7 linked regions of the Callithrix jacchus genome follow. The protein of the gene in region 2 interacts with the protein of the main gene of each other region in a pairwise test. Links are inferred from orthologs where the notes say so. Each region holds a gene or a part of one and is shown on either strand. Other genes may lie near its edges. The genes, in order: HOXB9, PNMA1, ATP5PO, METTL17, RUSC1, FBXL18 and MAB21L2.

Region 1 (4,069 bases), on a different chromosome or scaffold from region 2:
AGGCGACTGCACCTAGGGCCGAAGGTGAGAAGCAAAGAAAGGCTGGGAGAGGAGCCAGGAAGCCAGTCGGTGGGCCGGGAAGAGTCCCCGTGCAGGGCCACAGAGTACATATATTTAAAAAAGGCTACTTGGTAGCTTCAATGAGGGGGTCTGCGGGGAGTAAGGTAGTGAGGAGCAGAGACTGACCCTGGGCTTGCTGTTCACACTGGCCCCTATATCGGTGTTTGGAAATCTCCAGAGCAGGAGCCCCGAGTGAGAGGAGCAGGATAGGAGGGCTGAAAACTCAGCCCAGGCTCCTTTCTCTCTGGACAGAAGGGGAGATGACATGGGACCCCTTCACTTGTTGGTTGAGGATCCCAGGCCTCTGCTCTGGTGACACCTCAGGGAAGTGCCCTTAACCCTTTCTCTTGTTCAGCTCCCTCATCTGGGCAATTTTAGGGGCCTGGATGATTATTCAGTGGAGAAAAGGAGAAATGGTTGCCCCCCCCCCCCCGCCCGCCCCACCTCAAATGCATCCTTCTGGCCAGAGTCAGAGAAAGGCCCAATAAATGTAAAAGCGCTCTGATTCCTTGTATTAAACTCTTTCCTAGGCTCTCGTTTCCAGAGCCTGATGGATCCCTTTAACCTCAGGCAGGTTCTAATTTCAGGACAAACAGTGGATTCTTGGACATTCAGCCGTTTTATTCCCCTCTGCCCTCCACCCTCCGCTACTGAGGGGTCCAGGGAGGTTCCCAGTCTTGTAAATCTCTATAAAGAGTGCACCGAAAGCCCCCTTCAAAGCGGACAACGTCCTAAAATCCCCAACTTCTCCCCTCATCCTTTTACTTCATCTCCTGTGGATTGCTGCTGCTGTTATTTAATAAACATCTTCTGTCAAGGGGACAGAGAAGAGGAAATGAGGGCCTGCAGGGTGGAGGTGGAGGTGTGTGTGTGGGGGGGACAGGACCACCTCATCTCTCAGTATCCTCTCGGGTCTTTCTGGCTGCTCCCCGGGCTGGGCTCTCTCCCTCCCTCCGCCCTTGCTCTCCCTCCCTCCCCGACCCGCCTAGGGAGAGGGCTCTACAGCCTGCGTCCCTCCCGAGGCAGCCAGCCTCTTCCCTCCGCCTCTCCTCCGCCCCCGCCGCCCCACGTCGAGAACTGCCCCCCTTCCTGCAGCGGGAAGAGTGGGGGGGGCGAGGGGGGGGACCGGGCGGCCGGCAGCTCCGGCTGAGGTTACGTGGCCGCCGGAGCCCTGACGTGATAGCACATTGCATCAGCATAAAACAATCCATCCTCGATATGGAATGCGGTGCGGACGGATGACAGCGAGAGCGCAGCCCCCTCGCCGGATTGATTTATGTCGGAGCTGACGCTTTATCAGGCAGTCGGAAAAACTTTGACCAATCATTTTGCTAGGAGCGCTGAGCCGGGCTGCTCCACTGTACTTTGTTGGCTGAGAAGTTGAGCAGGGGGTGGGGGTGGGAGGGTGGGGGGCTGGGGGGGTCGCGTCCGAAAGCCCTCACACCGGTCCGGGTGCCACCTCTCCCTGCTTGGGCGCCGCCGCGCGAGCGCTTCCCTTCCCCCTGTGAGCGCCCGGATAATGTCTGAGAATGTCCATTTCTGGGACGCTTAGCAGCTATTATGTCGACTCGATCATAAGTCACGAGAGTGAGGACGCGCCTCCAGCCAAGTTTCCTTCTGGCCAGTACGCGAGCCCACGGCAGCCGGGCCACGCGGAGCACCTGGAGTTCCCCTCGTGCAGCTTCCAGCCCAAAGCGCCGGTGTTCGGCGCCTCCTGGGCGCCGCTGAGCCCGCACGCGTCTGGGAGCCTGCCGTCCGTCTACCACCCCTACATCCAGCCCCAGGGCGTCCCGCCGGCGGAGAGCAGGTACCTCCGCACCTGGCTGGAGCCGGCGCCGCGCGGGGAAGCGGCCCCCGGGCAGGGCCAGGCGGCGGTGAAGGCGGAGCCGCTGCTGGGCGCGCCTGGGGAGCTGCTCAAACAGGGCACGCCCGAGTACAGTTTGGAAACTTCGGCGGGCAGGGAGGCCGTGCTGTCTAATCAAAGACCCGGCTACGGGGACAATAAAATTTGCGAAGGAAGCGAGGACAAAGAGAGGCCGGATCAAAGTAAGTTATAAAAAGTGAGGAAATACCGAGGCCGAAGGCCAGGAGGGGGCGGGGAGGGGAAAGGCAATAAACAGCGGACAATGTGAAGGGAAGCTGCGGCGGTGGTCGGAGAGCGAGCCGGGAGGAGGGGAGAGTAGCGAAAGACGGAGGGAAGGGGAAAGCTGCGTGCTCTAGAAGGGGAGACTGAGGCCGCCAGAGGAGCATCCCCCCTACTTCTCCAAGTCCTGAGGGGAACAGGGACTCGGGATCGACTTGCAGCTCTTTCGGCCTCCTGTCCCCCCTCTCTCCCGGAGGCCCGAAAGAAAGCCCGGCCAGAGACTGGCTACGGCGGGGAGAGGAGCTGGTGGGGCCCGGGGCCTGCGGCCAGCGAGGCCGGGAGCCGGCGAGGCCAAGGGCCGGAGCGCACTGGGCTGCCTGGGGCCGTGCGGCTGGCAGAGCTCCCCGCGCCACGCGCAGACCGTAAAAGCCGGCCAAGGGGAAGGGGGAGGGGGCTCATTAGGATTTTATTTGCGATGCAACAGCTTGACGGAGGATTGTTCCTAGCAGATCTCGCGCTGTAGCCGCGGAGTCCGCTGCCTGCGTCGGGAGGGGCGGGGGAAGCCCAGGACACGGTGACTGAGCCCCCTCCCCGATGCGCCGGCCCCTCCCCGGGAGCCTTCCCTCCGGTGGCCCCTCTCCTCCTCGGCGTCCTCGTCGGGGCTGCAGCTTCCTTTTCTGCTGTCCCCGCTGCTCTCCGCGGGGCTCCGTAGCCCCAGCCCGGGTTGTCAGCCTTTCCGGGAGTCTGCAGTCGGAAAATCGCTTCTGAATATCGGGGCGTCCCAAAGGGACCCCGGGGATAGGAGGGGTTGGGGGGAAGAGAGGGTTGCGGAGAGGCGGAGAACTTTACCCTTTGTGGGTAGTTTCCCATCACCTCCCACTCCTCAAAAGCACCCCAGCCGGAAAGCCAAGTCTGGCTGATTTCCAGGAGGTGCTACTAGGTGAGAAGCCAGGGTTCTCCTATTATTTATTTTTAAGGTTGAGAAGGGCACATCGGTGAGGGAACTCTCAGCCCCAAACAATGACTCGCAGGCTGGTGGATCCGGTCCTCGTCCCTCACTCTTTTTGAGAAGTAGGGATTTTCTAGTTTCTCCTTGTCCTGCTAAATTTCCCATTGACTGAGTGGCCCCAGGGCCCTTTAGAGCATCTTTGCCTGCTGGAGAGTAAAGAGCTGCCCCATTCCCTGCAGGGTCCTGTCACTTCCAACCTTCCAGGTGGAATCCTAAGAGCTGGCATTTGGGGAACACATTCTTCCCCAACCCTCCCCACACTCCCAAACAGACACTCCCCCACCCCAAACCCCCAGTCTCTTCCTGAAAAGCCCATTATTGCAAGGCAGCCATTTGGCTAGGATCAATTATTAACAGTTTTTCCCTCTTTCATATTTAATGCGGCTGTGGGTCCCATCCCAGGCAATCACGTTAAGGAAATAGTGCTGCAAATTGGTAAGACACGGTTACTTAGTGTAGGAGGAACCACATTTTTTATATAAAAAACCCACCGTTTTTCATTTGGGGACAAGGAAGCTAGTAGCTGGTGGCTGCTATTTTTAATTGGCTTAGCTTTATTTGGCAACTTTTTTGAGTTCCAGAGTGGGGGGAGAGAGGGTTAGAAGAGAGGCCTGTATATATTTTTGTTTCCTCTCTTCCACTCAGTTACCATCTTCTCCCCTTCACCCTCTCCCCGACATAGGACCAATTAAGGCTAGGTGTGCTTCCTGTTACCTCCACATCACCCCTGGCTCCCCACCTTGGGACTGGAGCAATTTTTCTCCCCAATTTCCCTGAACTTGTGTTAACCAAACTGTGAGCTAAGGATGAGCTGAAAATGAGAGAGACTATTGCAGCCATAAGTTATCTGTGAACCCCCGGCACTCCCCTGTCCATAGGCTGGAATTGATAAATGGTTGCAATTGCATTGCGTGTGA
Region 2 (4,028 bases):
TGGGAGTACTGAGTGGGAGATGGCAGTGAATGTGTAGAGCGTAGGAGGTGGGTGAGTGTGCACCTGATGCTGGTGGGAATGGAGGGGAAAGCTCTGTGAATGATGGGTAGTGGGTGAAGACATGCTGAGTGTCTGTGGTAAGTAAAACATATGGTTTGAGTTAATGACAGTCTTCATAAGAAAAATGGACAGAGTTTACTTAGGCTAAAGATGTTTGTACATGCCAGCAAAAGGAGAAGACAACAGAAATCGAAAAACATTTTTATTTCTGTATGTAACTTCAAATTTAGAACACTCAGAATTAGTATGAACAAGAACTATTTTCTGACAAAGATTTGAAATTGGGGAAGTGAATTACTCTAACAGGTGCACATCAACCTCTCCATGCAATTTACATCTGTATCTTATGCAGTGAAAAATGGGTTACACAGCTCCGTAACTGCAGTTTTTAACATCCCATTTTGCAGTATCAGAATACTTTTCAATTAAACTGATCCACATGTTTAAAGATGAGAAATAGTACGTTTACATTGTAAGGTTGAGTCATAATAAATGCACATTCCCTTCCATTAATAAAATCTGGAACAAGTTATGGTAGACAGAAAACTATCCACAATATCAGTAATCTAACAGTTCACACTTTTACTGAACACTTCCTGTGAGCCAGGCCCCGCAGTAAACATCTGAACATGCAATTTCACATTCAACGTGGAATAGAAGTGTCACAGGTTCACACGTTTTTCACAACTGATTATGATGGCCATGATGACCGCGTGCACTAAGCTCTGTGTCCAACCAGGTAAACGGCATTGTAGCCAGCAAGATCCGCTAGCAGCTCACAGTGCTTGCGTGCACAATTTTAGAATGTTACATGAATACTCAGGCCTGACAAATCCTGCCCTCCAAAAACAAATGTAACAGGACTAAGCCTTTACTACTCAGACACATCTGTAAGACCCCACAGGGACAAGGACAGTAGCTGTGATCTGGGTCTGCACTAAAGCTGCCTTTCCTGGGACTCAGAAGTGCCCTTCCAGGCCTAACTGCAGAAGGGTGGCCTCAGCCTCCTCCTCCTCTTCCTTGGCTTCCTCCTCACGGATCTGCACCAGCAACTCAAAGAGGTTTGGGGCCGGCCCTTCCCCAGCCCCGTTAAGCCACAGCTGCCTTCGGATGGCCCCGCTTTGGTTGGCCCCGGCAATGACCTGCTCTAGACGAGCCTGGTTCACATTATCTTTATCAATGGCCCCCTTCTCCACCACCTTCTGTAGCAGAGGCTCCAAACGAATGACATAAGCAGACAACTTTTCTCCCGGGTTCTGGTAAGTGTTCAGAAATTTGACCTGGGCATCCCTAGAGCTCTCAACGCTCCCAAACACCTGCTCAAGCGCCTGCAGGCATTCGGCAGTAGTTATCGCGGGGTTGTTGGTCTTGAGGATGCGAATGACATCAGCGGCGGGGCCTCTAAGACTCTCCATCAACCGCCGCCTCTTTTCTGCATCTGGCACCTGCCACTCCTCTAGGACCTCATTAGTGTGCTCCAGCCAAGGATCAAAGGTTTCCTCTCCAGGCCCTGGGATGTCCCTCCCCGAGAAAAGTGTCAGCTTCTTGTACCATATGGACTCAACAAGAGGTTGAATAACATTATCCAAAATATAGTTTAGCATCTCTGCTGGCATCTCTGGGACCGGGGTCGGAGTAGGGTTCTGAAACCCAAGGACACGGGCAACATCCTGCACGGTCCAGCCCTCTCTAGCTAGGAAGAGGTGCAATCTTTCTAAAAATTCAGCATCGGAAGTCGGGGGCTTAAAGAACACTTTCCAGACTCCTCCTTTGCCCGGCAACTCCCTGGGGATCGTGGCGTAATCGACAGCGCCAGTGAGCTCTAATAAGGCTGCTTTCGCATTTTCTTCCCTCCAGAACATTCTCCCAAGCACTCGGTAGGGCACCTGGGGCATCGCAGCCTGGAGGGTCTCTTCGATTTCAGCCTCATCACAGTTCACTGGGATGCCCCAGACCAACAGAGCTCTCTGGGAGTTCACATCCATTCCCCTGCACCAGTCTTCCAACAGTATCATCGCCATTTTGTCAACTATCAAGACGCTAATTCTACCAACAGACAGTGGCTCACCTTGCTCCTGGCCTTAGAACAACGCCAGACACTCCCCCCAAGTAGGCCCAAGGGAGGCGAGTTTCACGCAGTCACGATTAACAAAGACACAGAGTCCTGACCTCGCCCTTCCCTGCCCCCACAGTCAGTCAGTGGACGCACTTGGAGACGAGCTCGGAAACGCTGAGGCAGTCACGCAGCCGTCGCCATCTTGCGTCTGGGTCCGGGTCCGGGTCCGGGTCCGCTGCCAGCAGCCGAGGCGTCGCGTCGTCGTGGAGCGGGCAAGGAGCGAAGGCGGGCGGCGAAGGCAGGCGCGATGGGCCGAGAACCGCCGAGGTGTGGTCGTCGGGCGCTCGCGGCGGCTCCCAGAGAGGATCTGGCGTTCGCGGTCGCAGCCCGGTCTTCCGAGGGCGAGGAGAGGTCGTTTGGGAGACCCGGCACAGGCAGACTGTGCCGAAGTCGCGGCGGCTGCGGGCCAGCTGAGAGCGGCTTCTTGGCAGGAGCAGGGACTCTTCCGGGAGGGTGGCGAGGACCGCCGAGGACCAGAAACGAAGGCAACAGAGGAGCAGGAGAGCTGGCGAAGCTGGGCTGGAGACAGCAGAAGAGAGGATGAGCAGCGGCGGCCGCAACGATCTGCACTGCGCTGCTACCCAGACGTAGTGTCCTACCCGCAACCTGCGGCGATGTTACTGCAGCAGTGAAGGGTGGGGCCAGCCCGTGAGCGGCGTCTGCCCCACTCCGTCACGCCCCCGCGGCGGAGCCGCTCGGGTGTCGCCATGGCAACGGCTTCTCAGCCTGCACGAGACTCGTCTGCTCTGGCGGCCCACCGCGGGCGGGGGAGTGGGGGTGGGGCGGAGTCCAGCGGTTACCATGGTGCCCCGGGCACCTGTTTCTCTGATGGCGTAATTTTCTTCTTCTTTTTTTTTTTTTAAACAGAGAACAAAGACTGCTAAGCACCGTATTTTAAAAATAACCCAATCCTGGAGTGGACTTAAGATGATATTGTTGGAAATGCATCCCTCATGGTGGACTCATCTCAGATTGCTCAGCCAGTCCACCCTGCACGTGAGAATATCCTCAGAACCGTAGCTTCCCTGTTCCCCCAACCACACTCTGCACCCTGCATATTTCATCCCAACGCAGCCAAAATGTCGGCGTGTGCCATTTACGTATATTTTTGTAAGATACGGAGTTGCCTTTTTCTTGTCTAAAATTTTGTAAAAAAGATGTTTGTCTATGTCTACTCAGTCATCTTTTAGCCAGGTAAACATTAATATGTTATTTCCCTTTTCCTGGCTGGCATCATTGACAATAGGCTGCTAAAAGAGAATCCGTATGGTTCGAAAATGTTGAGTAATCTTTGTGCAAGCAAGACAAGACCCACTTACATCAATCCCAGATGGTGAAAATCCCAGAGAACACAGCATGCAACTCTGAATTTTTAAAACCTTATTTAATAAAAGGTTTAAAGATACAGAAGAACATTCAAAAGTAAATAAGTTACATAGGTACATTACAATCACATCAGCAAGATTCTTTAGTGTATTAATTTTTTTCTTATAAAAAGCACACAAAAAATAAAATCTTCAGTCTCTATCACAACTGTACAGCAAAAGAGGTAATATTTATATATATATGTACACTATTTTAATATGTAACAGTCTTTTTAAAAAAGGGTGCCACAGGCAGCAAACACAAAAAAGGCAGTGTCTGATCATTTGTTTCAAAATAAAAGGAATATACTTATTTATATGCTATTAAAATATTTGTACAATAATTACAGACTGTCAAGGCTGTTCCTGTGCTGTCCCTTCCAACAAGGCCTTCAACTTAGAGACAAATGAGGAAAAAGTGAAACAGCTGCAAATTGTTAGAGGCAAATATTAACATAGCAAAATGTGGGGAGGACACAATTGTTTTA
Region 3 (4,155 bases), on a different chromosome or scaffold from region 2:
GATGGAACAATGGCGAGCACACACCTGGACACGGGAGAGGAAGGGGTACTTATTCCTGATGGAGGTCACCACTGCTGCTGTGTCATTCCCCTGTTGTCTAGGGTTAGATCACACAGTCTAGTCTAATTCCAACTGGCTATTTTAAAAGGAGCAGGGGTACAAGCTGGAGTGGCAGGGTGGGTAGTTTGGTGGGAAGAACGGTTACAGGCAGATCAGACTAAGTAACCAGAGGTCAAAGCAGGTGACCAGAGTAGGTGACCGGAATGAGTCAGGACGAGCAGGGGACGGGGGGAACAGATGTGAACTAGTGATTAGAACTGGTGGAAATGTTTGTTTACTGAAACTACAAGGGAGTCAAACTTTAAAATGGAGAATTAAAGAATAAGAGAGCTGAACACACTGACACACTGATTATTTGAAGAGAAACTTGGGGTTCACTATATTTAACATTCTGAACCTTCTCGTAGGCCTATCTATGCATGCACCTCCTTGTAAAAATCCAGTTTTACCAAAACTGCTAAGTCAGTTTAGCCAGAACCCCCAATTCCTGATAACTGATCATCCTTGATATCTGATCAGGGTCCTCATCTTTCACCATCCCCCAGGTGATGTGTGATCACCCTGGCCCGTCTTCTACAAGATTCCTTTAGGTCGATTTAGCCAGAATCTCCCTTACACTTGTTTCCTCTTAGTAATTTTATATCCACTGACCATTCCACTGCTTCTTGATATGGGAATTTATGAGGAGTTGAGCTCAATCTCTCTGCTAACTCCAAGACTCAATTGCACTGGCCCTATATCCATCGCTATGGTCCTGAATAAAGTCTTCCTTACCAACAACCATCATTGAATAATGTTTTATTTAACAGTGGGCAGTCATGGCCCAGGTAAGAGGGACGTGATACCTGCTCCTGGAGGGGGAAGGCTCTTGGGCACTTTTTGTTTTTGTTTGGTTTTGTCTTTGTATGCAACATGAGAAAAAGCCATTGATGCAGGCTTTAGCATGTTATGAAGGAAGTGTAAAGAAGCCAGTGACGCTGGTAATAACTGTGAAACTGAACAAATGCCACCATATTTACCTAAACGTAAATTTTAAAACTGGGGATAGCAAATCCATTCTACAGCGAGGGCCGCTTAGCCAGTAAGAAGGATTTCATTTTCAGGTGCAGTCGAAGCCCTCTGGCTCCACCCCCAGCGTCCAGCCCTTACCACTGCTAAGAACTACAACTCCCAGCCGGAGGGAGGTCTCTGCGCATGCCGCCTGACGCCCTACGACCTACACTTCCCAGAGAACCTAGCGATTACGCTAACGTGCGCCTGCGCCCTTGTGCACCACTCGCTTCTCACTCTGGTTTGACCTACAGCCGCCCGGGAGAAGATGGCTGCCCCAGCAGTGTCCGGGGTCTCCCAGCAGGTGAGAGAAAGGTGGTCCCGAGAGCCAAGGGGAGGATCCCTCCGGGGGTGACCGGTACCAGACCCAGAGCGCGAGGGTGCGATGCTTAGGCTGGGGAAGTCTGGCAGTCTTCAAGGTTGCGGGGCCCGGCGACTCAGGGCGACCCAGTGTTTGTCCCCCAGATGCTTGCGGGGCTGCGCGTGTCACGACCTTGGCGTCCTTCGAGCACAGCCTTGGGAACTGCTCGCCTGAGAGGCGCCGCAGAGAGGGTCTGCGCTTCGCTGGATTCCTGGGAAGGGGCACGGCCTATCCCCTAAATCAGCTTTCTTTGCCATTGTGGTAAAACTTGTCAGAGATCGCTAGTAATGCCAAGGAACATTCGTAAAACACATTTCACAGTTTTGTAAAGAAAATAAGGCGGAAAAGTTTAAATGAGTCTTTGGCTGCTCAGCCAGTAAGTGGTGGAGTTGCGATTTGAACCCACGGAGTCACCCAGAAGATGAAGTTTGAAAAAATGTTATGCTCTTTGTACTGCATCTCCTCTTGGTGCTTTACGTATCATGACCCCTTCCTTGCATCTGAGGCAATTTTTACGTAAGCGTTAAAAAGTCTTTTCTTCCTCACAAGCAGTTTTGACAAAACACATTCCATAGCTAGAAGTATTTGAAGGTGACCTGTGATCTGTGACCTGTGCACTTGCAGGTGATTTTTAAACTGTGGATTCCATCTCTGTCTTCTGATGAGCGGGAGACCTTCTCTCAGATCTAGGGCCTCTTGCCGGTTAAAACTGCGGCAGTACTCAAAAAATTTATCTTTATTTTCAGATAGCATTTGGATTTCGAGGAAGGTACATCTGTTTGCAAATTATCTGCCTAAGGGTGTTGTAATAGAAACGCCAAAATTTTCGTTAAATATTTTAGAAACATGCACTCTTGGAAGTTAGTGTTTCTCTGTCATACAGGTGTGCTAGTCTCGGCCCATTCCTAGCAAAGTAGGATGTTAGTGGGAAGGTGATTTCCCAAGCAACTTGAGATAATCCTCACTGGGTAAGTTTACTCCTTAGTAATAAAAAGTAGCTAAATGTAATATGTGGTGATACAAAGAGACAAAACTAATGATTTTAAGGTCATTTAAAAAATTGTTTTGTTGTTACTGAGTTAAATGCAGAAACCCTCCAAGTAATCTTGTTTGATCTACTTTGCTTTATTGCTTTGAAGGTGCGATACTTCGGTACATCTGTGGTCAGACCATTTGCCAAGCTTGTGAGGGTATGTTAATTTCTGTTCTTCTGTAATTATAAAGCACGTGCAGGTGTGAGCCAAACAGCAGTACAGTCAGGGCGTGGATTTTGGGTAGTTACTATCTAAACCTTTTTGCACATCTCGGTTCCCAGAATGTGAGGTATGTGCAGGGTGGAGAAAGGAGTGATGTTGAGTACTTGCTTTGTGACAAGCCTATGTGTAATCTTTAAATATGAGAACTTGGTTTTTAATCATTTGTTTTTCCATTCTCCCTCTAAAATAGGCAAGCTAGCATTTACTTATTCTTTTAATGAAAGAAACAGGTTTAACAAAGTGGCATGCCCAAGTTATCACAGAAAATTATTGTTGGAGTTGATACTAAAATCGAGATACCAGACTGGGTGCGCTGGCTCACTCCTGTAATCCCAACACTTTGGGAGGCCAAGGCAGGCAAATCATGAGGTCAGGAGATCAAGACCAGCCTGACTGACAAGGTGAAACCCCGTCTCTACCAAAAATGCAAAAAATTAATTAGGCATGGTAGCAGGCACTTATAATCCCAGCTACTTGGGAGGCAGGATAATTGCTTGAACCCAGGAGGCAGAGGTTCAGTGAGCCAAAATCACACCACTGCACTCCAGCCCAGGCAACAGTGTGAGACTCCATCTAAAAAAAAAAAATCAAGGTACCTTGGTTTCTAATGTAATTCTGTTGCACATCTCCATGTTCCATTCTGGTAAGGACTGTTCATACCCTTTACACCCTTTCTCTCCACTAAGCACCAAGGAGGGTCACTATTTCTGAGAGTTGCCAGTCCCCTTCTTTTCAAACCGGTAGTCCAGTTGCCCCCAGATAAAGAAGACTATTAGTGACACATAATAAATGAAGTTCCCCAGGAGGCCTCCATAAATGACACATGGCTAACAGCTGGTAGCAGCTGGAACATGATGTCTGACTCCGTTTCTGTGGGTTATTTTGAAATTTCTTTATTTGATTAAAGACAGTTCCTGTGTGATAGAGAATTGATTCAACTGTCAGGGAGTAGGAACTTCTCAAAGATGTGCTGGGCCATCTAGCCTACTCACACTTTTCCCCCACCAAATCAACAGTGAGCCAATCCTCCCCTTGGAAAAAGATTATGAGATCTGTGTTCTTAATGAACCCACATCAGGTGGAATTTAGGAAAATAATTATTATGTCCCATCATTACCAGCCCCAAATCTCTCAAATCAAATGATCAAAATCATTTTATCCTTCATATGAAGGCTTAAAATGTCATAACAGTGTTAGGGAGTAACTGGTCTTCCCACTTTACAAAAGGAGAAACTGAGGCCCTGGGAGAATATACCTGGGGTTACTCAGCTTAGTCTTAAAGCTGGACTGGAACTAAATCTTCCTCATCCAAGCCTGAGCTTTTCCGCTACAACCATACAGCACCACTAAGAACATGTAGTCATACATCAGTGGTAGAAAAAAATCTACAGTTTATTGTGAAAAATAATTCAAGCATCAGGTTTTTTT
Region 4 (3,981 bases), about 53 Mb from region 2:
TTAGGACCTTGGTAAATATGAATTAGGAGCTATCACAGAGGATATGAGATGTAAATGCTTTTTCAATTTAAATATAATTCAATATAAATGATTCAATATAAATATCTTATGGAATAAGAATCTCCTAAAATAGTGATTCAAACCTTTCTTGGGTCACAGAATGCTTTCATAGGATAAAGAGAATGTCTTTATTTTGTATTTTTTTTAAGAGATGAGGTCTCACTCTGTCACCAGGCTGGAGTACAGTGGAGATCACAGCTCACTGCAGCCTCAAACTGGGCTCAAGAAATCCTTCTGCCTCAGCCTCTCAAATAGCTGGAACTACAGTCAGGAGCCCACCATGCCCAGTGAAGATCCTCTTTAATAAAAAAAAAAAAAAAAAATGCATATGCAACGTCCCAAGAATTCCCATCCCAGAAAACTACTTTATGAATAGGGAACTGACGGTCAAAAAGTTCAGGTTGGAAGTTAAGGGACTTTTACCTCATGGAATGCTCTGGAGACTGCTGCAAAGCCACCATCCAGTCTTGCTGCCATATACACCAGGCTCAGTCCCTCACTGTAGCTGCCATTAAAATCAGAGAGTCATACAAACTAGTAAATAATCTTAATCCCATAGTTACCTTCTAGATTTAGAAAATGACATCCTGGAAAGGGCTCTTCCAGCTCTGGTCTTTCACTCCCCAATACAGAAGGGTCCTGGGGAGCCTTACAAATACTAAATTTTCAAACTTTAATGTTCAAAACTTTGAACTTTAGCTTTTTCAAATACTAAATTGATCCTTTTAAGGTCAGGTGATTAAAAAAAAATACTACATTGATTGTGTAATTGTATTCCCTCTCTTTCAAAGTTCACCTCTCTTTCAAAGTTCACCTTTTCCTTCTTGTGCACCTTTTCCAGTCCCCCTTACCTCAGTTCTTGCCAATGGTAGGTAGTTTTACGTAGTGCATGAAGCACTGCTTCACGAAGTTTCTCCTCTGTCTGAAATAAGTCTGTGGTGAGAACAAGGACTGGAAGTCAGGACCTAGGGAGAACAGGGTTCAGATCTAATATTTGAATATACTGCCCACCCAGTCTTCTCTGACTCCCACCTAAGAAAACCTTCAAGCTCAAGAGAGAAGACAAACCTAGAGAAAAGCTTCAGGTAAGAACAGTAGCAACTACCACTAACAGAATGTATCAGATGGCATTTTGCTTCTAAGAATGGTTTATTTAACTTAACCAATTCTGTCCCACAGGTTTGTTTTATATTAAAGGAAACTGTGATAAAAAATTTAAAGGGTAGGACAAGGACATTAGTTTTTGGATTTCCTCACTTCTCCAAAATTTATGGTTTTGATGATCTCCACTATTCCTATGGAGAAGAAAGGAGACTGAAAATCTAGGTCTCATGACTGTGTTCAGTTCAGTACTATTTAGCAAGTATCTACCAATCACCTACTGTGACCCAGGTACTGTGAGGTGTGCAAGGAATGTAAGATGAATAAATGGCAGGTCTGTAGTGTCAAGGAGCTCACAATCATGAAACTAATTGATGAATTATATGTATTCTCTTATCCCGAAAGAAGGTTTCAGTACTGGGCAGGGGCCATCCAAGGGCTTTATTTCACCTGAATAGAAACTTAGAAGGTCCTAATCCAGTGGACTTGCAGGAAAAAAACAAATATCTAGATTTTAACAGTATATTGGCTGGGCGTGGTAGTTCACGCCTGTAATCCCAGCACTTTGGGAGGCCGAGGTAGGCAGATCACCTGGGGTCAGGAGTTCAAGACCAGCCTGGCCACCATAAAGAAACCGTCTCCACTAAAAATACAAAATGTAGCCGGGTGTGTGCGGTGGTGCACACTTGTAATCCCAGCTACTGAAGAGGCTGAGGCAGGAGAATCACTTAAACCCAGGAGAAGGAGGCTGCAGTGACCTGAGATTGAGTCATTGCACTTCAGCCTGGAAACAGAGCAATACTCTGTCTCAAAGCAAAAACAAAAACCAAACCAAACCAAACCCAGTATACTGGGACACTCTCTAGCAATCTCTAGAATAATCTACCTCCTTTTAGTAAGGAATCGTTGTAACAACTGCTGCTGTGGTCAGAAAGTCAAATAGGGACTTCAGTATCTGTTTGAGAGACTATTTCTTGCTTTTCATTTCTCACTGGTATTTCAATCTGGCCTACTTTTAAATTATTCTTAAGTCCTACCTGGGTTTTCCAGGAATTTTTTCTCAAGATGCACAGCCCGTCTTTGCAACTCCTCTGGCTCTACAGGCAAATGTCTGCTCCAGAGATAATTGGTCAGTGCTTGCACCTGATTCTCCATATTGGGCTCAGCGATCTCTATGGGCCAAAGATGAAAAGCGGAATCACTTGCATGCAGGTCCAGTCCCGTTTCTTCTCCCTTTCCCGCCGTTACTCACCACGTAGCAGTAACTGGGCACCGTTAGACAGTGCCTGTGGCAGCCGCACGTGCGGTAGTTTCCGGATGCCAGGGTGTTGGCGATGGGGCCTCTTCTGCAGGAAATCGGACTTGTTATCTACCTGGGTCACTCCAGGTACTACGGCGGCGAGAGCCTGCAAGCGGATAAAGAAAGGCTGATTGCTTGGCAGAAAGGCAAGCCGCGGGCGCTCGCTAGGGCAGGGACTGCCAGGAGCGCTCCTCCTCCGCGCCGAGATGTCTCTGGAGATCCAGAGTTTCTCCGAGAGCAGGGAATGCAGCCACTCACCCGGGTCTGGGGAACTACTCCAAGGCCGGGACACAATCTTCCTAATGTCAGTCGATACCTCAGAGGCCCCGCCATGGTTCCGGAGGCGAGCCGGAAACGGAAGTGTAAATGCCCGTGACCTTCAGTCCCAACGCCGCAAGGAGCAGCCTTCGCAGAACTTCTCCCGGCAGTTTCAGCCAACGAGAAGAGCGAGTGTTTGCCAGCAGCCAATAAGCAATGGCTATGTAAATATTCTTGAGGCGGAAACCATGTTTGGGCTAACTTGGAGGCTGGGTTGGGCTTTGTCGCCAGCGCCAAAAGTTAAGAGGATGGGGCGGGACGGGGGCGGGATGGAGTTGGGTTGCGAGCAAAGACTGGCAAAGATTGTTTCTCGGAGTAGACTTCTGTGTTTTGCTCTCCTCCGCGGATAACTGAGTCTTAGGTTGTTTTCCCTGTGTGGAAAAAGGGAGAATGCAGTAATGGAAAGAAGAAAAGAGGAAAATCAGATTTCGGCGACTGAAGATAACAGATATTAATAGTTAAATAATTATTGAATAGTTAATAGTTTGATAAATATTAAACCTAGTTAATAGGTTTATTATTTTTTAAATATTTGTTATTTTCTCTTCAAATTAGACCAGTCTTCTTAGTAATAACATAACACTGAGAACACCTATGTGCCAGGTACTTCAGGGAAAGGGATTGATCCCCATTTCACAGAAAACATGGTTCTGAGTGGAATATCCTGCGCCTGCTACTAGATCAGACTGTTTCTTTCTGTCCCAGGACTTCTACAGATGCCCTCTTGACTACCTGAGGTGCAGAATCCCAGGTGGGTTCAGCCACTATTGTGACGTGATAATGTAACATAGGGGAATGGTCTCCAGGGTCTGCAAGCCCATCAACACCTTCATTCACCGGAGCATCAGAAGGATAAGTGGCGCCGGGCGCGGTAGCTCACGCCTATAATCCCAGCACTTTGGGAGGCCGAGGCGGGTGGATCACGAGGTCAGGAGATCAAGACCATCCTGGTCAACAAGGTGAAACCCCGTCTCTACTAAAAATACAAAAATTAGCTGGGCATGGTGGTGCGCACCTGTAGTCCCAGCTAAAACCCAGAAGGTGGAGGTTGCGGTGAGCCGAGATCGTGCCATTGCACTCCAGTCTGGGTAACAACAGCGAAACTCCGTCTCAAAAAAAAAAAAAAAAAAAAAAAAAAAAGAAGGATAAATGGCATATGTAAGGCCATACCTACTTTCTGAGCCTGGCAGTGGACAACTGCT
Region 5 (4,149 bases), on a different chromosome or scaffold from region 2:
AGGGAACAGGCACCAGCTTCACTCCTCTGCCTGGGGGCCTCATCTGTTTCCTCCTTTTCTGCTCCTCCCCCCACCCAGGATGATTACCTTGACCTCTTTGGGGACCCCAGTGTGACTGGCAAAGTTGGCACTGACATCCAGGACAACAAATGCAGCTGGCTCGTGGTCCAGTGTCTGCAACGGTCCACTCCGGAACAGCGCCAGATCCTGAAGGTGCTTGAGAGCGGGCGGGTGGTGGGTCCCTGAGCTGGTGAGAAAGGGCCAGAGCAGTGGTTCCCAACTGGAGGCAGTTTTGTCCGAGGGGACATTTGGCAATGTCAGCAGACGTTTTTTGTCATCGTCATCACAACTCCGTGTGTGGTACAGGCATCTAGTTGGCAGGAGCCAAAGATGTCGCCAAACATGTAACACACAGAACAGCTCCCCAGACAGGATTATCTGGTCCCAAATTTCAATTGTGCCAAGGTTGAAAAACCCTGGAGTAGAGGATGCTGGGGTCTGAGCCAATATGTGGGGAATATTTGGGATGGTGAAGGGAAGCTTGTGATCTTAGCTATCTAGAGACACTTGAAAATTGGAGGCAAGAAGGGAGTGGGTGGCTTTGGAGATGTTCTGGAATATGTGAATGAAGGGAATTGGTTGGGGGTGAGTGTCCTGGAGGCTCTGGGGAAGGCCAAGCCCAGCTTCCTGTCTCCAATCCCTTCCAGGAAAATTACGGGCAGAAGGAGGCTGAGAAGGTGGCCAGAGTGAAGGCATTATATGAGGAGCTGGATCTGCCGGCTGTGTTCTCGAAGTATGAGGAAGACAGTTACAACCACATTATGGCTCTGATTGAACAGTACGCAGCGCCCCTGCCCCCAGCTATCTTTCTGGGGCTTGCGCGCAAAATCTACAAGCGGAAAAAGTGACCTAGAGACTGCAAGGGCGGAGAGGAGGCTCTCAATAAATAAATTATTGTGTAATCTTGTGTTCTGTTAATGCTTGGCCCAGCCGGAGTCTGGTTCTCTGAATGCTCGGGGTGGGCTGCTGGGAGGACTCGGTGCACGGAAGCAGAACCCAGGGGCCTTGGCATCCGCGCCCCTTGGGGTCAAAAGCTTGGGATATAGCCAACCCTCTGGGCGAGTGAAACCAGACGCTAAGCGCTAGGGGCGGGGCTGAGCTACGCCACGCCCATGCGCGAAGGGGTGCAGCTGCGCGGCGAAGAGTGGGTTGTCCTAGTGCCCCTCCCCTCCTGCTCTGTTCCCCGCCGGGCGGGGACCGTGGGAGCCGCGGACAAGCCCAAGGCCGGAGCGGTTCCAGGAGGACCCTGGTGAGGAGGGCTCGGCCCATGGGTGTAGACCGATAGACCAGGGCACGCTGGGCGGGGCTGGACAAATGAATAGAGAAAGGGTGCGGTGGTGGCTGAATGATGGAGACGAATGCGGAGAGAATGATGGACACACGGCTGTTCCAAGGGGCGAGGGCGCAGGCTGGAGCCCAGCCGAGGCAGCCGGAGGATGCGGAGTTGAGAAGCTGACGGCTGCTGCATCCTTTTCTCCTCCAGCCGCCACCCCTTTTCTGCATTTACCAGGCAAACTCTGCGTATTGCCCCACCCCCATCCCCTGCCTCCTTTCAGGGCATCTGGGTGGGTCTTCTTGGGTCCCTTAATCTAGGAGTAAGGGGTAGGCTGGAGGGCAGGGTCAGATTGCGGCAGCAGGGACCCAGCAGTCCATTCAGGGCCCCGACCTCTTCCAGGCCCCCGCCCCCCTTCGGAGATCCAGAGCGCAGCCGCGTTCTCTGACCCTCCCCGCTCCATTCCCGGGGGGTTACATTCGACTCCACCTGCAAACACTGCAGTGGAAACTAATGGCCAGTCGATTGCGATTTGCATCTCATTGAAATATCTTCCAAAGCAGTCAGAGCCTTCAGGCCTGCTGCTGCCGCCGGTCACCTCGGTGTCCTTCCGGCAGCTCGTCCTCAGTGGCTGGGCTTCGCCACCCCTGTCTTCTAGGTCTACACCTGTGGTTGCCAGGTAGGTGGATGTGAGAGACCCAATCCTCCTGGTTCTCTAGAGGCCATCCCATCGCCGCCGGCACAATGCTGTCCCCTCAGAGAGCTCTACTCTGCAACCTCAACCACATCCACCTCCAGCACGTCTCCCTGGGCCTGCACTTGTCCCGCCGTCCTGAGCTACGGGAGGGGCCCTTGAGCACACCCCCTCTCCCAGGAGACACTGGGGGCAAGGAGAGCAGGGGTCCCTGCAGTGGCACCTTGGTGGACGCCAATTCCAACAGCCCAGCTGTGCCCTGCCGGTGCTGCCAAGAGAACGGTCCAGGCCTAGAAAACCGGCAAGACCCGTCACAGGAGGAAGAGGGGGCTGCCTCTCCCTCAGACCCAGGCTGCTCCTCCTCGCTCAGCTCCTGCTCAGATCTTAGCCCAGATGAGTCCCCTGTCTCTGTCTACTTGCGGGACCTCCCTGGTGATGAGGATGCCCACCCTCAGCCCAGTATCATCCCCCTGGAGCAGGGCTCCCCACTGGCTTCAGCAGGCCCTGGCACCTGCTCACCGGACAGCTTCTGCTGCTCTCCTGATTCCTGCTCCGGATCTGCTTCTTCACCCGACCCTGGCCTGGATTCGAACTGCAATGCCCTGACCACCTGCCAGGACCTCCCTTCCCCAGGCTTGGAGGAAGAAGACGAGAGCGCGGAGCAGGATCTCCCTACCTCGGAGCTCTTAGAGGTGGATGATGGAAAAATCGACGCTGGGAAAACGGAGCCCAGTTGGAAGATTAACCCCATTTGGAAAATTGACACAGAGAAAACTAAAGCTGACTGTAAAATCACTGAAAACAATAACACTGGTTGGAAAAACAACGGGAATGTTAACTCTAGCTGGAAAAGTGAACCTGAAAAAATCGACTCTGGTTGGAAAAACAACACAATAACTGATTCTGGCTCGAAAACAGATGCAGGGAAAATTGATGGAGGATGGAGAAGTGACGTCAGCGAGGAGCCGGTGCCCCACCGGACAATCACGTCCTTCCACGAGCTGGCCCAGAAGCGCAAGCGGGGCCCAGGGCTGCCCCTCGTCCCGCAGGCCAAGAAAGATCGCAGTGACTGGCTCATAGTCTTCTCGCCCGACACTGAGCTGCCCCCGTCGGGGTCGCTGGGCGGCTCCTCTGGACCTCCTCGGGAAGTCACCACCTTCAAGGAACTCCGGTCCCGAAGCCGAGCCCCACCCCCGCCAGTCCCGCCTCGAGACCCCCCAGCTGGCTGGGCTTTGGTCCCGCCCCGGCCCCCACCCCCACCTGTCCCTCCCCGAAGAAAGAAGAACCGACCAGGACTGCAGCCCATAGCGGAAGGGCAGTCCGAGGAGAGCCGGGCTGTCAGCCCCGCGGCTGGTGAGGAGGCCCCAGCCGCGAAGGAGCAGAAGGAGCCGGGCGCGCAGGCCGGCCTGGAGGGTAAGAGGTTGTCAGAAGCGGGAGGAGGGCTGGGCTTCGGCCGCTCACGCCTCCTAGCCTTCCAACCCCGCCCCCTGTCTTCCCTCCATTCTGTGTCTCCCATCCTCCCCGGCCCTTCTACCAGGGAGCGCTCCGGGAAAGGGAAACTGGTCATTGGGTTACGGGACTAACTCTTTGCTCCCTCTTTTTCCCGCCCCTCCTTGCCTGGCTGCCCATCCCGCTGCCCTCCTTCCCTCTGCGCCTGGCCCCGCCAATCCTGCCTGCAGCCGGTCCCCTCCTGCTCCCTCGGCCCCTGGTTTTCCGGTTCTCGGCCGACGGGCGCCCCCTGTTGGAGGGTGGGGGCGCGGGCGCAGCTGGGTCTCTGCTCCTGGCGCCTCTGGCCGGGTGGCCCGGCGCCGGGCTGCGGCTGCTGGGGGCGCCGACCCCCCCAGAGGAACAGCTGCTGCCGGTCCGCCTGTCCCCAGTGGGAGCCTATTCGCCTCCGACTCGGGGAGCCTTGCCCTGCCTGGCCAGCCCCGAGCTGGCACTGCTGCTGTCCCCGCTCTTTCCCAGAAGTAGCACCTTCCCCGCCGCGGCTCCCCCACCCCGCCAGGTACCCGCCCCCCCGCTGCCACCGCAACCTCGTCCGCCGAAGGCCCCTCGCTGGACCAGGAGCCCATCGCCTCAGCCCAGGCTACGTAAGACGGACCCGGGCAAGCCCCGCGGGCCA
Region 6 (4,008 bases), on a different chromosome or scaffold from region 2:
CCTGGCGTTTCCTAAGCTGTCTCCTGAGACACAGCACTGATACCACCAGCCTATGCACAAGCTGTCCCCTTGACCAGACATGCCACCCAGCAAGGGAAACTGCGACACTCTCATGCTTCAGCTCAAAAGCTCCTTTCTCAGGGAAGCCCTTGCAGTACTCTCCAGGCAAACTTAACTCACCGCCCCCCACAGCTGACCAGGCCTCCACTCCCAGCCTCGTCGGACGAGCTGTAATGGTTTCCCCACTACTCCAGGAATGCCTTCAGAACAAGGAGCATTTTTTATTTAACTTTTTTGTTTGAGACAGGGTTTCACTCTATCTCCCAAGCAGGAATGCAGTACAATCATAGCTCATTGCAGCCACGGCCTCCTGGGCTCAAGTGATCTTCCTGCCTCAGCCTCCCAAGTAGATGGAACTACAGGTGCAGGTCCCTACACCAGGCTAATTTTGTAATTTTTGTAGAAATGGGATCTTGTTTTGTTTTGAGACAGAGTCTTGCTCTGTTGCTATGCTGGAGTGCAGTGGCATGACTTAGGCTCACTGCAATCTCTGCCTCCCAGGTTCAAGCAATTCTTCTGCCTCAGCCTCCTGAGTAGCTGGGACTACATGTGTCTGCCACCATGACCACCTAATTTTTTATTTTAATTTTTTGATTTTTTAGTAGAGACGGGGTTTTACCATGTTCGCCAGGATGGTCTCAATCTCCTGACCTGGTGATTCACCAGCCTCAGCCTCCCAAAGTGCTGGGATTATAGGCATGAGCCACCACCCTCAGCTAATTTTCATGTTTTTTTTTTTTGTAGAGACAGGGTTTCCATGTTGCCCACACTGGTCTCAAATTCCTGGACTCAAGCAATCAGTCTACCTTGGCCTCCCAAAGTGCTGGGGTTACAGGCGTGAGCCACCATGCCCTGCTGGGAGCATTTTTAATACCTGAGAAAAACAAGTACTGAACCATGTGAAGTGCTATTAAAAAAAAAAAAAAAGCAGAGCCTGGCTGGGGCACAGTAGCTCACACCTGTAATCCCAGCACTTTGGAAGGCCAAGGCAGGCAGATCACCTGAGGTCAGGAGTTCAAGACCAGCCTGGCCAACATAGTGAAAGCCCATCTCTGCTAAAAATACAAAACATTGGCAGGGTGCAATGGCTAATGCCTGCAGTCCTAGCACTTTGGGAGGTTGAGGTGGGTGGATCATGAGGTCAGGAGTTGGAGACCAGCCTGGCCAACAGAGTGAAATCCCATCTCTACTAAAGATACAAAAAAATTAGCCAGGCATGGTGGCAGGCACCACCAGCTACTCAGGAGGCTGAGGCAGGAGAATCGCTTGAACCCAGGAGGTGGAAAGTGCAGTGAGCCAAGATTGCACCATGCACTCCAGCCCAGGCAACAGTGCGAGACTCTGCCTCAAAAAATATATATATATATACAAAAAATTACTGGGAGTGGTGGTCGGCTCCTGTAATCCCAGCTACTTGGGAGGCGGAGCCAGGAGAATCGCTGGAACTCATGAGGCAGACGTTGCAGTGAGCTAAGATCCAGCCATTGCACTCTAGCCTGGGGAATAGAGTGAGACCCCATCTCAAAAAAAAAAAGAGGGGCCTTTGAGCTGGAACTCTGTAAGATCAAAGTACCAGGACCCCCTTTCTTCCCTGACCCCAAGCACACACAACTAACTGGAATCTGCTCACACAGCCATGCTACCCCAGAACTCCTCCTCTGGAGCTGGAACTTGCATTTCAATCTTATCATCAATCTGCAGTTGGGCCACACACCGTTCCTTGTCAATCAAGAAGCCACTGGGGTCATTTCTAGGCCAAGACCACTTCAAATTAAGAGGGGCAGTCAGCACAGCGACCCCCAGCCATTTCCACAGACCCCTGCTCCATCACTTTGAGGAAGACAGTTGAATCTCTCACTCCTGCTCCCTAGAACCCAGGCAAGCTCCTAAATCTGCGAAGTGCACCCAACGGTCTGAGTCCTGAAAGATGACAGATACCAACCCAGGTGCCCATACAGATAGGCAGGAAGCATCAACGGGAAGCCACTAATCAGTCTAGAGTACCTACTACACCCCTGTCTACAGAGACAATACTTTTCACCACATTACAGGGACGCAGCGAGCTTCTCCATCGGACCCAGATTTGTGGAGTGTTGGGAAAGAATTCCAGGGTACGCCGTAAGTACCCCAGGTGAAATGGCTTTTCGTCCATCACCCACCCCCCCACGTCATTCAGCAGGCAAGCTCCACGGAGAAGTGGGCTGGGCTGAAACTGAGCATCCAGAGATAGAAGATGAAGTGGGACGTGGGCACGGAGGGGTATGTCCCAGGGCTGTAGGGGACCAGCCAAGGAACGGGGGCACTGGGGAAGGGGTCTCGGAGGAGCCTGGACACTCAGGGGACGGAGAGGCGGGGGCAACTCTGCCGATCAGGAAAGACGAGCGAAGGGAAAGACAGCTTGTGCCTTCCGAGGCAGGGCAGGCGTCTGGGGGACAGGATGCGGGAGCAGGAGCAAGGGCCAGGGTCCGGATGGGAAGGACGGGACGGGTAGGGGTCGGGATGGAAAGGATGCAAGGAAACCCAGGTCGGGAGGGATGAACCCAGGGAGACCGAGGCCACCGAGGTAGAAGCAGTGCGGAGAGAGGCGCGGACAGTACCTCTCCGGAGCTGGCCATGTCGCTGGCGGGGCCGAGCAGCGGCCTCGGGAGCCGCAACTCCGAGGCCTCCCACCTGCCCGGCTAGGGATGCTGCAAGCCGGCGCGTCCGCAGCTCAACCGAGACCCCGGCAAGACCGGGTCCCGTCACTTCCGGCGCCCGCCTCACGCACTTCCGCTCGCCCGCAGATGGGCCCCAGGTGGCCGCCATGTTAGATGTGGCTCCGCCCGGGGAGCTGCTGGAACGCAGGGGTGCCAGGAAGGGCTCTAGGGACCCCCGCCTTTTCTCTGAGCTCGTTCTTAGACCACTCTGCCCTCTGCACGCTCCTTTCCAGCCACCCGGCCTCCCGCTGCCGGCCCAGCACGGCCCCCTCCAGGCTTTTGCATTTGCCTTTCCCACTCCCTGCCATATGCAAAAGCCACAGGTCAGACCCTCTCTGAGCACCCCGTCTGGAATAGCGTCGCCTCTTCTCCATTTTCACACACGCCCCGGCACTTGCCTCATCGTCTGTGTTTCTCTGTAGCTTTTTGCACCATCTGACGACGGTATCTTTTTTTATTTTTGGTCCTCCCCCTAATAAACTAATAAATTGTAAGCAGGGACAGGATTTCCCAATACCTGGAACTATCCCAGGAATGCAATAGACACTGAATACATATTTGCTAAGTAAATATGAATGTATGTGCCCTCACACTTAAGCGTTTGCATTTCAAAATAATTAGACCCGGCCGGGCGCAGCTCACGCTGTAATCCTAGCATTTTGGGAGGCCGAGGTGTGCGGATCATCTGAGGTCAGAAGTTCAAGACCAGCCTGGCCAACATGGTGAAACCCAGTCTCTACTAAAAATACAACAATTAGGCCAGGCTAGGTGGCTCACACCTGTAATCCCAGCACTTTGGGAGACCAAGGTGGGCGGATCACGAGGTCAGGATATCGAGACCATCTGGCCAACATAATAATACCCCGACTCTACTAAAAATACAAAAATTATCTGGATGTGATGTCAAGCGCTTGTAATCCCAGCTGCTCGGGAGGCTGAGGCAGGAGAATCGCTTGAACCCAGGAGGCAGAGATTGCAGTGAGCCAAGATGGCACCATTGCACTCCAGAGACAGAGATAAACTCTTTAAAAAAAAAAAAAAAAAAAATCCCTGGGATTCACGCCTGTAATCCCAGCACTTTGGGAGGCCGAAGTGGGCAAATCACAGTCAGGAATTCGAGACCAGCCTGGCCAACAAGGCAAAAACCCGTCTCTACTAAAAATAAAACAAATTGGCCGGGCGCGGTGGCTCAAGCCTGTAATCCCAGCACTTTGGGAGGCCGAGGCGGGTGGATCACGAGGTCAAAAGATCG
Region 7 (4,088 bases), on a different chromosome or scaffold from region 2:
GCTTTTTTTTCACCCAAAAGTACAGAAAGGCTACAGTGGGTACAGCTTGTTAAGGATAATCCATATACTTAAGGCACATGCATGCCTTTCATTGAAATGCCCAGGGAGGAGTGAAGCCATCTGTGTAATCAATAACAGGATACTTACAGATTTTTGTGGCAGTGAAGTCTTTTAAAAGCAAGAGCCAATTATGAAAATAAAATCATTTTACAAATGAAACTCTATTTGTACCCCCTAAGAATACATTCATAATTAGATTTCTAACAGTAACATTTTAAGAAAACTTTAGGTTTACATTTACTTCCCTTGTTTTTCATTAAGTTTGAAACAATTTTAGTAGCTTATTTTAAAAGTATATCCTACTAAGTTCTACATATAAATTTGCACCGTTTCTCACAACTTAGACATTTTCTCTTTCGAAACTGGTTAATTCTTGTAACGATAAAATAATGGTATTAAATATATGTGAATCTTAATTATGAAACAATTATCAAACAAGGTGCTTGGAGTCGTTTTTGCCCTGCCCTGTTTTACGACAGCATATCGAAATTACTAAAAAGAGATTTATGTTCATAAACCCTCACCTTATATCCACTCCAAAGCCCCACTGGTGCACATATACAGCAACTGCTCTGGTTCTTGGCAACAATGGGAGGGGAGGGGAAGAAAGGGAGGAAGACTTTAAAGGAGGAAGAGACCTGGAAAAATTAGGTCCTTTTCCAGATTCCCCTTTCTCCTCCCATTTGCCTTCAAGCCAAAGTAATTTTGTTACACTTTGCACCTTCTCCTGCCCAATGTTGATAGAATCATTAAAATTAAAGAAGTGAACCTTTCTGAACCACTGCTACTCTCCCTCGTGTTATTCCAGCCATCTCCAGGAGAGTCCCTTCTATATAAACTCCTTTTCTTCTTTGCTACTGATAAGAGAGGAGGATAAAGAAGAAGGGCTGTAAAATGTGTGCAAGCATTTGATTTCCATTATCTCCTCCTATTTTCTTACTTCTCTCTTTACCCCCTTTCTTTATCAAGTGCAGTGGTGGCTGCTACCGCTCGCCAAGCGTGCCTGTCTTCTCTCTCGGATTGGCTAAAGCACTGACAGCTCGGATAGCGATTGTTGGAGCTGAAGCTCCACCCCCTCATGATGGCCCTGGGACCATTCATAAACTAAATAACTCCAAGAAACAGCGAGGGAAGAAGAAAGAGAAAGGGAGAAAGAGAGAGACAGAGACAGAGACAGAGACAGAGACAGAGAGAGAGAGAGAGAGAGAGAGAGAGAGAGAGAAGAAGAAGAAGAAGAAGGAGGAGGAGGAGGAGGAGGAGGAGGAGAGAGAGGAGCAGCACGAGGGGGAGGGGGAGGGGGAGAGAAGCAGGGGGAGACGGGGGCGAGAAAGAGGTCGGAGAGGAGAGGCGGGAGAGAGACGACTCAGAAAGTGGAATCTGTACAAGCAACCTAGAAGAGGAGAAGGAAACCCTTGAATCGTTATAACTACACCCCAGATGCAACGCAAGCAACGACTTCGTCACACTAAAACGGATTTTGTGAGGGCCAAAATTATAAATTACGAAGCAGAAATGATTACCAAACAACTTCCAGCGGTTTGCACCTAAAGAAATGTAAGAAGAATCCACTACAAACAAACCAACCCCGTCCAAACAACGCCTCCAGTAGGAAAAGAGGAAAACTGCGACAACACGACCCCCCGAGAAGAGAGGAGACCAACACGCTGAGACTGCGGGGTGTCAGCAAACCTCCAAGTGCACGGCGGACAGAGTTGCACTTCGCAGCTCTCTGGACATTAATTACCTCCTGCACCTTCCGTTTGCGGGAGGGTGAGGAAGAAGGTACTCACCTACACTGAGCGAAGAAGTCCTACCAGCGTGGAAGAGAAGTTTAAGAATGAACCACTGAATGTTTCGCTTTTATATTTAAATTTATGTTGGCACTTAAAAAACTTCATTTCCAGGTTTCTAGGCAATCTCGGCTACAGACATCTAAGCCTAACCTTTTGGTATCCTGAGGTTTTTTTCTGTCTCCTTCTTCCTCACCCCCACCCCGCTGCTCTCGCACAAGGTCATCTTTACATTATCAAGAGAAAGTTAAAAGGTCCCAGGAGGTACTTTTCTTTTTAGAAAATCACCTTTTTTCCCCCTAATTTTTTTGCAGAAGAAAAAAGCTTTTGAAAGAGGGAAAAGGAAAAAAGCCGGCAGCCGTATCAGCCGGTCAGCCCAGGTGAAAAACGAGAGTGAAAGTGGGGTTTAACGGGGAGCGCACCGCCTCTTTCGAAAGCCGCTGGGCCACCACCAGTGCCTGAGCCTTGGATCCCTCAACGTATTGCGAGACGCCGGTGTATAGCCCGGACCTGTGCCCCAACATGATCGCCGCTCAGGCCAAGCTGGTTTACCAGCTCAATAAATACTACACTGAGCGCTGCCAGGCGCGCAAGGCGGCCATCGCCAAAACCATCCGAGAGGTCTGTAAGGTGGTCTCGGACGTGCTCAAGGAAGTGGAGGTGCAGGAGCCTCGCTTCATCAGCTCCTTGAGCGAGATCGATGCCCGCTACGAAGGGCTTGAGGTCATCTCGCCCACCGAATTTGAGGTGGTGCTCTACCTAAACCAGATGGGCGTCTTCAACTTCGTGGACGACGGCTCGCTGCCCGGTTGCGCGGTGCTCAAACTGAGCGATGGCCGGAAGAGGAGCATGTCTCTCTGGGTCGAGTTTATCACGGCGTCGGGCTATCTCTCAGCGCGTAAGATCCGCTCACGTTTCCAGACGCTGGTGGCTCAGGCGGTGGACAAGTGCAGCTATCGGGATGTGGTCAAGATGATCGCGGACACCAGCGAGGTCAAGTTGCGCATCAGGGAGCGCTACGTGGTGCAAATCACACCGGCGTTCAAGTGCACCGGGATCTGGCCTCGAAGCGCGGCACAGTGGCCTATGCCCCACATCCCCTGGCCTGGCCCCAATCGGGTGGCCGAGGTCAAGGCCGAAGGGTTCAACTTGCTCTCGAAGGAGTGCTACTCGCTGACCGGCAAGCAGAGCTCGGCGGAGAGCGACGCCTGGGTGCTACAGTTCGGGGAGGCGGAGAACCGCCTGCTGATGGGCGGCTGCCGAAACAAGTGCCTCTCGGTGCTGAAAACTCTGCGGGACCGCCACCTGGAGCTGCCCGGCCAGCCGCTCAATAACTACCACATGAAGACGCTGCTGCTGTACGAGTGCGAGAAACACCCGCGAGAAACGGACTGGGACGAATCGTGCCTGGGCGACCGGCTCAACGGCATCCTGCTGCAGCTCATCTCCTGCCTGCAGTGCCGCCGCTGCCCTCACTACTTTCTGCCCAACCTCGACCTCTTTCAGGGCAAGCCCCATTCGGCCCTGGAGAGCGCTGCCAAGCAGACCTGGAGGTTGGCCAGGGAAATTCTCACCAATCCCAAAAGCCTGGACAAACTATAGGGTGCTGGGGACTGCTTGAAAAGCGACACAAAAGGGCGTGCTCTCTCAGACACACAACACACAACTCAGCGATAAACAGCAGAAACTCTGGACACAAACTTTTATGTAAGTCACATGAAATAAACAGGAACCAGGCAGAAGACCTTCGTTAATTAAGAAGCAAACAAAAAGAGAGCAACCCAACCAAAACAAATCACATTCTTGCACAAAAGTGATCGTTTTCTTCCAAACAATGTGAATTTAAAAGGTCACACAAAAGAAGCAATCGGGCTGTGCCACCACAAAATGAAACTCAAGGTACACTTTCAAATCAATGTATAGTAGTTTCTCCCTTTTCCTTCTTTCCCCCATCCTTTTTCTCTCCACCTCCCCCTCCCATTTCGTTTTCTTTTTGGTTGCCTGAATGTTGTCACCAAGTGAAAAAATTATTTAACTATATGTAAAATTTCTCTTTTAAAAAAAGTTTTACTGATGTTAAACGTGTCTCAGTGCCAATGTCAGATTGTGCCCCTCCCTCTCCTGCACCTCTACCCTCACCCTGAGCCGCCTTGTTGAAAACAGTAATAAAAACATTACATTGTAATTGACTGTTTGTGGATTGTTCTTAAATGAAGGCAGGTGAGATCACAGTTTATA

The links.
Region 1: the proteins of PNMA1 (region 2) and HOXB9 interact in binary tests that used the Homo sapiens proteins (3 or more experiments, as listed by UniProt). The two-hybrid records come from large-scale screens. The link is inferred for Callithrix jacchus from reciprocal best matches to the Homo sapiens genes PNMA1 and HOXB9.
Region 3: the proteins of PNMA1 (region 2) and ATP5PO interact in binary tests that used the Homo sapiens proteins (3 or more experiments, as listed by UniProt). The two-hybrid records come from large-scale screens. The link is inferred for Callithrix jacchus from reciprocal best matches to the Homo sapiens genes PNMA1 and ATP5PO.
Region 4: the proteins of PNMA1 (region 2) and METTL17 interact in binary tests that used the Homo sapiens proteins (3 or more experiments, as listed by UniProt). The link is inferred for Callithrix jacchus from reciprocal best matches to the Homo sapiens genes PNMA1 and METTL17.
Region 5: the proteins of PNMA1 (region 2) and RUSC1 interact in binary tests that used the Homo sapiens proteins (3 or more experiments, as listed by UniProt). The two-hybrid records come from large-scale screens. The link is inferred for Callithrix jacchus from reciprocal best matches to the Homo sapiens genes PNMA1 and RUSC1.
Region 6: the proteins of PNMA1 (region 2) and FBXL18 interact in a two-hybrid assay, tested with the Homo sapiens proteins (2 studies listed by BioGRID). The two-hybrid records come from large-scale screens. The link is inferred for Callithrix jacchus from reciprocal best matches to the Homo sapiens genes PNMA1 and FBXL18.
Region 7: the proteins of PNMA1 (region 2) and MAB21L2 interact in binary tests that used the Homo sapiens proteins (3 or more experiments, as listed by UniProt). The two-hybrid records come from large-scale screens. The link is inferred for Callithrix jacchus from reciprocal best matches to the Homo sapiens genes PNMA1 and MAB21L2.

What each region holds. Positions count from the first base shown.
Region 1 is NC_133506.1:117,650,603-117,654,671, forward strand, and holds the start of HOXB9 (homeobox protein Hox-B9), read left to right. Parts: upstream 1-1,269; 5' UTR 1,270-1,589; coding exon 1,590-2,106; intron 2,107-4,069. UniProt on the Homo sapiens protein: Sequence-specific transcription factor which is part of a developmental regulatory system that provides cells with specific positional identities on the anterior-posterior axis.
Region 2 is NC_133509.1:108,629,448-108,633,475, forward strand, and holds PNMA1 (paraneoplastic antigen Ma1), read right to left. Parts: upstream 2,801-4,028; 5' UTR 2,082-2,800; coding exon 1,020-2,081; 3' UTR 250-1,019; downstream 1-249.
Region 3 is NC_133522.1:39,988,583-39,992,737, reverse strand, and holds the start of ATP5PO (ATP synthase peripheral stalk subunit OSCP, mitochondrial), read left to right. Parts: upstream 1-1,355; 5' UTR 1,356-1,378; coding exon 1,379-1,414; intron 1,415-2,610; coding exon 2,611-2,661; intron 2,662-4,155. UniProt on the Homo sapiens protein: Subunit OSCP, of the mitochondrial membrane ATP synthase complex (F(1)F(0) ATP synthase or Complex V) that produces ATP from ADP in the presence of a proton gradient across the membrane which is generated by electron transport complexes of the respiratory chain.
Region 4 is NC_133509.1:55,498,020-55,502,000, reverse strand, and holds the start of METTL17 (ribosome assembly protein METTL17, mitochondrial), read right to left. Parts: upstream 2,801-3,981; 5' UTR 2,795-2,800; coding exon 2,720-2,794; intron 2,568-2,719; coding exon 2,414-2,567; intron 2,334-2,413; coding exon 2,199-2,333; intron 994-2,198; coding exon 912-993; intron 566-911; coding exon 484-565; intron 1-483. UniProt on the Homo sapiens protein: Mitochondrial ribosome (mitoribosome) assembly factor. Binds at the interface of the head and body domains of the mitochondrial small ribosomal subunit (mt-SSU), occluding the mRNA channel and preventing compaction of the head domain towards the body.
Region 5 is NC_133519.1:15,748,569-15,752,717, forward strand, and holds the start of RUSC1 (AP-4 complex accessory subunit RUSC1), read left to right. Parts: upstream 1-1,349; intron 1,350-1,351; coding exon of another isoform or gene 1,352-1,871; exon of another isoform or gene 1,872-1,950; 5' UTR 1,951-2,077; coding exon 2,078-3,440; intron 3,441-3,706; coding exon 3,707-4,117; exon of another isoform or gene 4,118-4,149. Other genes in the region: FDPS (farnesyl pyrophosphate synthase), read left to right, coding at 79-213, 708-908. UniProt on the Homo sapiens protein: Associates with the adapter-like complex 4 (AP-4) and may therefore play a role in vesicular trafficking of proteins at the trans-Golgi network. Signaling adapter which plays a role in neuronal differentiation.
Region 6 is NC_133503.1:17,013,213-17,017,220, reverse strand, and holds the start of FBXL18 (F-box/LRR-repeat protein 18), read right to left. Parts: upstream 2,801-4,008; 5' UTR 2,676-2,800; coding exon 2,658-2,675; intron 1-2,657. UniProt on the Homo sapiens protein: Substrate-recognition component of the SCF (SKP1-CUL1-F-box protein)-type E3 ubiquitin ligase complex.
Region 7 is NC_133504.1:46,207,836-46,211,923, reverse strand, and holds MAB21L2 (protein mab-21-like 2), read left to right. Parts: upstream 1-1,288; 5' UTR 1,289-2,372; coding exon 2,373-3,452; 3' UTR 3,453-4,032; downstream 4,033-4,088. UniProt on the Homo sapiens protein: Required for several aspects of embryonic development including normal development of the eye.